2 linked regions of the Callithrix jacchus genome follow. The protein of the gene in region 1 purifies or fractionates together with the protein of each later gene. This does not show direct contact. Links are inferred from orthologs where the notes say so. Each region holds a gene or a part of one and is shown on either strand. Other genes may lie near its edges.

Region 1 (3,812 bases):
AGGTGGATCACCTGAGGTCAGGTTCAAGACCAGCCTGGCCAACATGGCGAAACTCTGTCTCTACTAAAAATACAAAAATTAGCTCGGGTGTGGTGGTGCGCACTTATAGTCCCAGCTATTGGTGAGGCTGAGGCAGGAGAATCGCTTGAACCCAGGAGGTGGAAGTTGCAGTGAGCTGAGATCATGCCACTATACTCCAGACTGGGCGACAGAGTGAGACCCCATCTTAAAAAAAAAATTATTCATAGAGTCTTCTAAAAATCATTTTCAGAAAGTGTTTTCAAAGGTACTCTCAAGAAGCAATAGTTACATTTAATCAAAGTTCAACACACCAAAATGAAAACTACCTTTAACATAAGCACCAGATAGTACTATGCTGTGATGATCTAGTGGCAGCTTATAAGCAGGGTGCCCATAGGGAAACACTGTATGCATTCTGCCTACATTGATCATACCAGGCACACACTCAAAATAGATGTCACTGGTTTTACAGCACTGGTTAGGGCAATTTGGTTAAAATGTGAGGCACAACAGTACAATTTGGTTTCTAGGTTGGAAAAAAAAATGTAGTAAAGATAAAATTCCTTTCCTAAGTGGGAAAATAAATCTTCAAATTTTACCCTGAGAATTTATTTAGTAGATAATAAAATTAAGTGGAAAAGAATAGCAGGATATACTTTTAACACAGCAACAGCTTACCTGATATGCCATTCTTGCTGGTGTTCAATAAAGCTAGAGATGCCGCAGAAACTCTTTTATTGTTCACAGTCTGCCCTGGTTTTCTTGAGGTACACTCTTCACTATCACTGTCCTGTAAATTTAGTAGCCTTGGCTGGAAACACTGTAGTCGACATGATCTGATATTGCTTAATATTTCAGAAAGGGACAGTCTATTTTCACAATGTTTACTAGAAGCATTGGTCCGAGAGAAATTAGAAGAAAAGTCTGTAGTTTGGGAAGAGCTTGAAAAACTATTCAGCATTTCAGGGTCTATCTGTTTCAGGACTGGGTCATGTTCTGTGGATATTCGGTCCATTATGACCCTGAAAAGCAAAATAAAACCAAATATTAACTGACAGAGCTTAACATTTTCTCTTGGTCTTCTGTTCCATATCGTAAACAAAAACCAGGTGAAAACAAATACTTCACCTTCCACCCCTGCCAATTCGCCTCCTTGCAAATCCTATACATCTTCTCGGGACTGTAAGTGTTGTAAGGCAATGCCTATACCTCAACTTATCCAAATCTGCCAATTCTGAATTTTCACATGAATGGTTAGCTTGGTCCAAACGAGGCTGCAAATAAAGAAAGAAAGAAAAACCCATGGAATAAATCTGAAATGAAGACAGGTTAGATCATGATAAAAATGAAGCAACTGCAACATTAGCGGAACAATTAAAATTTCGACATGAAACTATTAATCAGGTTAAATTTTATAAAACCGAATCAAAAGTTCACTAACCAAGATTACCCAAGATTACCCAAACTGAATTTAGTTTATAAATTCATTTAGGGTCAATTATGCTTAAAAAGGAATATATCTTTAAAATAATACAGCTTTTAACATTTGCGTACAAAGTAGAAATGGTGAAATTACAGAGTAATTTTTAGGTTTTCTACTGAGAACCAGAAAGAATATTTTTTGGACTAAAAATCGCACTTCAAACACTTATGGGGTCAAACTGAAGCTTCCTCTTCATTTTTAAGAAACATACAACCAAGTGGAACACAGTGGCTCATGCCTGTAATCCTAGCACTTTAGGAGGCCAAGACAAGAGGATTACTAGAGATCAGGAGTTCAAGATCAGCCTGGGCAATGTAGCAGGACCCTGTCTCTACAGAAAAATACATAAATTAACAGCATGTGGTTGTGTGTGCCTGTAATCCCAGGAGGCTGAGGTGGGAGGACTGCTTGAACCTATGAGTTTAAAGTTACAGTGAACTGTATGACTGCACCACTGTACTCCAACTTGAGTGACAGAGCAAGACTCTTTCTCATAAATACATACATACATACACACACATATACATACAAACAGCCTGTTCCCTGCCTTCCCATTCCCTCCATCATTCTGTCATGCTATGTCTGTCCCTTTTCTTAAGAATTTTCCTTTCTCTCATCAGCATAACCAGTAGACAAATCACCTCTTCTAAATTTACACACCCTAAAAAAGTTGTCAGTGTATGTTTACCATCATGTTATAAGATATATGATCTCTACAAGCCATATAAGAAAGCCAAAGCCATCCTTACAAGGCTACATTACACTTCATCTAAGAACCTTGGAGAGTGATATAATTTGACTTCATAGCATAAAGCAACTTCTATGTGTGTTAAAACAGCTTATAAATAGCCCAAAAAAGCCACCACCACAATTTTTAGACAAAACATCGCCATTAGGAAAGTTCAAAAATTATTACTTTGTTTGATACTTATTGGTATGTATGCACAAGATGGGCTTACATAACAATAAATTTCAGTAATCACCTAGCAGCCATCAAAGGTTCTAGACTCAACTTACAAATTCTGGGTTTTCCTAATTCTAGTAATGACATACCAAGTAATTTTCACAACTGCTGAAGTTATAATTAGAGCCCAAAATGAAACTAAATTTCTAAAATGTGAGGAATTATCAATTTCTAAGAGGATTTCAATACCCTTTGAAAGGACTCAGTACCTTTTAAGCATCTTTTACCAGTATCCACATAAAGGATGTTAAATAAAAAGTACTGATGCACTTCCCATTTTTAGATCAAGACTAAGTCATCTTGACATGGGTTACCTGTTAATTCCAGTTCACAAAAACACCACACACACAAAAAAGTTCTTACAGCATAATATTGGCATCCTGCCCGCCTTCTGAAAGCACAGGGACCATCAGGATCATTTTCTTCTTCTGGTTCTGATACTGGGGACAATACCTAGACAAAAAAGGCATTCCATTTATGAGTTATCAAAAGATCAATGTTTGTAATGCTGTAAAATTTAAATCTGATCACAAACAGTAAATCACTTCTATATTATATATAGTAGGTGCTGAATTCCCCAAAACATTCAATGACTAGTAAAAATGTTCTATGGCTAAAAATCCTTATTTTTAATGGATTAGTTCTTAGAGGTTAACTGTACCTGGCATTGCTTGATTGCTTCTAAACATGAAATGCTACTGACTTAGAATTAATATAGTTTGTATACATCCCACTATATTTTATAAATAATGTAATAATGTATGTGGCTATAAATATTTAATGATGACAGTTATATTTCACCTATAGGTAAGTTTATTTTTATTCAATAACTTTATCTCTCTGTAATAAAGCCAAAAACTAGGATGTAAAAACAGCTTATAAATAGCCCAAAGAAACCACCACAACAAAAAAACCAAAGTCATAAAGGTCAGATTTTACTCAAAGAAAAGTCTTTTATCTCCCCACTCATTTCCTAAAAATTATTTTGTAAACTTAATAGACCAGAAGCAGAAAATCAGAAGAGAAAAGAAAACTTGCTAAGGTAAGTAGATTGGTTACAAAGATGTGATAAGCCAACTACCCTAAAGAAAAAGAATAAAGACTTTCAGAAAGCTGTCACATTATTAGAAAGCACTGTGCCCAGACCATGTCATATCAGGCCAAATATCCCTATGTAATTGAGTGGACCTCTAGGGCAGTCGCACTGACCCATTAGAGGGCACTTTATTATAAATGTCATAAAAACAAATTAAATAATATACAGATATACCAATGGCAGGGAAATAATATGTTTTAGATAAATTTCCACTCATAACGGTTAAAATTTTTAAAAAAGTTTTGGTA
Region 2 (4,512 bases), on another chromosome or scaffold:
AAATGAAAAATAAAATAACAGCCTAACACAAGAGCAAAGCAACAGTCTCTAAGTTATAAAAGGAGGAGAGAAAAATCGAGTTTAACCTTTGAAACAGGAGACTGGGGCTTAAGGTGTAATTTATTTGCTGGCTTTTAGATCAGAGGCATTATTTCTACACCGTATCTATTATGTCTTGACCCCCACTTGACTATATTAGAGAGAAACAAGTACATCCAAGATTCTTAAGCCAACACAACTACTTTTGGAGGCAGCATGGCTCATCAAATGAAGAAGTATGTTAGAAAAACGTCCAGTGACAATAGTTTCAACGGAACTGTCTCAACCACCCACTGATAAATACTGGTGCATGTGAGTATAAGGAAAGGAGAATTGAAATACTGTAAACTCTAAACAAGTATTAAAATGGTCCATAAATTTCAAATCTCATAATAGAGAGAGTTGAAAAAAAACGAAGAGTAAAAGCATTTGGAAGAGGGGCCCTTGGAGGAAAGACCAGCTTCCAAGGAACACAGGTCAAATGAGTGGAGGCGGTAGTTCTTCTAATCATCCCCTCTACCAGGTGATGCTTCAGTACTATCCTTAACAGGCAATTTTAGACATCCTTAGAAGTGATTTAGGAAACAAGCAAATGTGCTTTGTGATACAAGAACTACGGAGATAATGTTGAAATTTCTAACTTCAAAAAGATGCACTAGTGAGAGAAAACAGACACGAAATTCCCATATTCTAATTCTCTAGCTTCCTGTAGAAAAATATCATCTTTAGGCATGTAAGCCAGCACATTTGACACTGACCCTGCAAAGTTTTCGGCTGGCCCTCACTATCTCTCAGCCCCCCTCTTCCTCCACTTCCCTGCTGTTCTTTCCTGGCACACAAAATATAGGCCAATGAGCAGTGGGTGGGTGAGGAGGATGTGAGAGAAAATTTGAGAAGTAAAAAAAGGAGCAACTTAACCAGGACATGAATGAGACTGAAGGGTCTAACAAGGGTAGGCAAACAACAATTAGAACTACTGAAAAATGGGCTTTCCCGGGCAGTAGTGAGCGCTCAGTGCTTTTAGGGGTTTAAGCAGGGGCCAGGCTACCTACCACTTGTCAGAGAGGCTGCAGAGGGAACGGCTGCTTTGGATGACCTCTAATGTCTCTTCCGACTCTGAAATGTTAGGATTCTTATTTCACAAAGGAGAACGCAATAATCATAGAAGCCCACTGACTGGGAACCCTTTTAAATACGCAGCCTTGGAGGCTGATTCCCAAACACCACTCCCACCTCTCCCGCACGTGCCCACCCCGCCCCCTTTCAATATTTCCACCTCCACGTGCAAATTGCCTCGCGGCACTGGCCCCAAGGCGGATAGACACCTTCCCCTGCAAAGCACCAAAACTATGCTCGCCCTCCTTCCAAAGAAGTGAGGACTACTACACTCTCCCACCCAGGGTGGCTAAAAAAGGAAAAGTCTCAGATCCAGCCTTTCTCCCCTAGCCAGAGCAGGGGACGGGGACGGGGGCGGGACACAGAGAAAAACTTTCTTCTCAAAATTTTCTTCCAGAGGGTGGAGGAAATGGAGAGAACCCCAACGAGTCCGGGGCTGAGGGGGTGGGGGGAGGGGAACCCCTGAATCGTTTAACGGCTGGAAGGGGGAGGGGGACTCCAGAGGTTGAGGGGGCGTGGGATGGAGAAGCAGGCCAGGGAGCGGGGTCAGGGAGCTGCGGGGTTCCTGGGGTCGGGGAGCTGCAGGCGTCCCCCCGACCTGGCACACAAAGCGGCTGCCGCGCTCGGCTCTCACCAGATCCTTTGTGTTTTCCATCAGGGCCTCATGGGTAGGGGTTGTCCGTGCTCCCCGAGCCCGCGGCGCCCCCTCCCAGGGCTGGGGGCAGGTGCCTCTCCCCGGGACTGCGGCGATACAGGGGGCCCCCGGCTGGGTCCAGACCGGTGGCGGCTGCGGCAGCCCCCGGATTTCCCCCCTTTAACTCGGGTGGCCCCAGGATATCAACAACATTAGCATAGCCCTCCCTCCCCAGCGCGCCTGCGCCGTGACCCGCGCCCCGATTGGCCCACTTCCCTACATACCCTCCTCTCTCGCTTCCAGCGTGGGACCCTCGGCAGGCTCCGTACTCCACGGACCGTACCAAGACGAAGGGTGGAAAGCTTATCGAGGCTTGTGTCAAGTCCAGTGATTAAAGTCAGGAGGAAAAGTAGAAGTTTCATTCAGTCGTCCCAGTGTATAATTGGGCTTTCTTGAGCTCCTTTCAATATGTTGCAGCTGCGAAGTTGTGTTGGAAAAATTTTCCACTCCAGTCACGCCGCTTCCCTCTACACCCGGAAGATTGGACCTCCCGGAGGAACTCCCACACGGGGCGGGGCCGGCTAGGGGAGCGGGAGTTACGTAGAGGGAGGGAGTGTTGGTCACGTGGCAAGGGGCTGCGCAGGCTCCTTCCAGCCCCCGGGGCTCCGGCGGCGGCGGACAGAGAGTCGCCTGGGCGCATGCGCAGCGAGGTTCCACGTGAGCGCCTGCGTTTCTCCTCAAACCCAAGGATGCCGCCGGAACGGAGGAAACGAATGAAACTGGATCGGAGAACAGGAGCAAAGCCGAAGCGGAAGCCCGGAACGAGGCCAGATTGGAAAGCGAGAGCCGGACCGGGCGGGCCGCCCCAAAAGGCTGCCCGTTCATCCCAGCGGAAACCGCCGGCTCGGCCGAGCGCGGCCGCCGCTGCAATCGCAGTCGCGGCGGCCGAGGAGGAGAGACGGCTTCGGCAGCGGAACCGTCTGACGCTGGAGGAGGACAAACCGGCCGTGGAGCGGTGCCTGGAGGAGCTGGTCTTCGGCGAAGTCGAGGACGACGAGGACGAGCTGCTGCGGCGTCTGCGAGGCCGGCGGGTGAGGGAGGCCGCGGCGCGCGGTCTGGGCGCGCTGGGGCGGGGCGCGCGGTGGGCGGTGAAGCTCCGGGGGGCGGAGCCTGGGCGACCTGCGCCGGCGGGGAGCGCTCAGGTGGGAGGGAGCCCGAGAACGCGGGTGCCGAGGGTCGCAGCTGCGGGTCCCTCGCCTCCCAGCGCTGGACTGAAAGTCTCTGGAGGGCGGGGACCGCGCCTTTCTCCGCCCCCGGAGGCGCCGCTCTTCGGGTATCCGCTTTGCGAACTGTGGTCTTGAGCATCTTTCGCTGCTGCTCCGCTCCTCTAGTCTCTCCCCAAACTGAGCCTGGTCGTTTGATCACCTGCCTCAATTCCTTGTGATTCAGAAATTCCATTTGGCTAATGGAATCAGTTAGTTGGCACGGGCCTGGGCATCTATCTGGGTTTTAACTATCTTCCCCATGTGACAATGAGACACACCGTCTTTTGAGACTGATCGTGTATTCGTCCATTTAGCAAAATATTGGTGAACCTGTTTGTTGCCAGATACCCAATCTGGCAATGGCAAACGCTGCGTGATTGATCTTACTTTTTGCACACATTTTGCCATTCCTTTAGTTCTATATCTGGCTTTTCTTGAGAGATAGAATCCCAGACATTGTTCGAGGCACTGGAGGAGACACAGCAATGGACGAAACTGCCAAAAACCCTGCCCTTTTGGAGCTTGTATGCTAGTGGCAGAGACAAGATAGATGAAATAAATGAGTAAACTTCAGGTTTGTTGGTGACAAGTGCTGAAGAGAAAAAAGGACATTCGGGAAAGCAGGATGAGCTTGTGTAGAGGAGGCCTGTTAAATTTTAGATGGCGGGGGCCGAGGAAAGCTCACTGAGAATTACCCAGTCCATGTTTATTACACGAATGCTGACCTAGCTAATGTCAGCTGCTTATCAGAGCCTCCTTTGGGTGCTTGTGGGAGAAGTGGCAGCCATCTATTTGGGAAGTAGAGAACTACCACTGGAAAAATGCTGAACTGTGACAGCTTTGTCGTCTGGAAAAGGACCAGTGTACTGAGGTGGGCGCTGTTGGGTTTGAAGGCACGTAGACTGGTAGTAGAGCAAGTAGAAATCACTTGGACATTTCTATCGTGGTTTTGGGAAGCTCAAGCTCACTTCAAGGGATGTTCTGTGGTCTAGGTTTAGATTTGATAGTATAACTTTATGGTATAAATTCATAATTTTATAATTTAGATTTGATGTTATAAACGTATTTACTAGTTATTTAATGATATAGTCTCACCCTGTCACCCAGACTGGAGTGCAGCAGCCCCAATTAGTCTTCCAGCTCTCTTATGCTAATAGTAACTGGTTGCTCTTCCTGTTCGTCACAGATAATTATATCTGCACAACGCTTTAAAGTAAGCTCAGAAGGCAGCTTCATCCTCCTAGGCTCAATTGATCCTCCTACCTCAGCCTCCCAAGTAGCTGGGACCACAGGTGCACACCACCACACCCAGTTAATTTTTAAAATGTTTTGGCTGGTCGCGGTGGCTCACACCTGTAATCCCAGCACTTTGGGAGGCCGAGGTGGGTGGATCAGGAGGTCAGGAGATCGAGACCATCCTGGCTAACACAGTGAAATACGGTCTCTACTAAAAATACA

The links.
Region 2: the proteins of EPC2 (region 1) and MBTD1 purify together in Homo sapiens (affinity purification with mass spectrometry; 3 studies listed by BioGRID and IntAct, with this or other methods). This does not show direct contact. The link is inferred for Callithrix jacchus from reciprocal best matches to the Homo sapiens genes EPC2 and MBTD1.

What each region holds. Positions count from the first base shown.
Region 1 is NC_133507.1:81,631,650-81,635,461, forward strand, and holds part of EPC2 (enhancer of polycomb homolog 2), read right to left. Parts: intron 2,922-3,812; coding exon 2,832-2,921; intron 1,296-2,831; coding exon 1,150-1,295; intron 1,044-1,149; coding exon 700-1,043; intron 1-699. UniProt on the Homo sapiens protein: May play a role in transcription or DNA repair.
Region 2 is NC_133506.1:115,117,929-115,122,440, reverse strand, and holds the start of MBTD1 (MBT domain-containing protein 1), read right to left. Parts: upstream 2,907-4,512; 5' UTR 2,881-2,906; coding exon of another isoform or gene 2,539-2,880; 5' UTR 2,212-2,538; coding exon 2,074-2,211; intron 2,028-2,073; exon of another isoform or gene 1,811-2,027; coding exon of another isoform or gene 1,790-1,810; intron 1,558-1,789; exon of another isoform or gene 1,316-1,557; intron 1,156-1,315; exon of another isoform or gene 1,092-1,155; intron 1-1,091. Other genes in the region: UTP18 (U3 small nucleolar RNA-associated protein 18 homolog), read left to right, coding at 2,539-2,880. UniProt on the Homo sapiens protein: Chromatin reader component of the NuA4 histone acetyltransferase complex, a multiprotein complex involved in transcriptional activation of select genes principally by acetylation of nucleosomal histones H4 and H2A.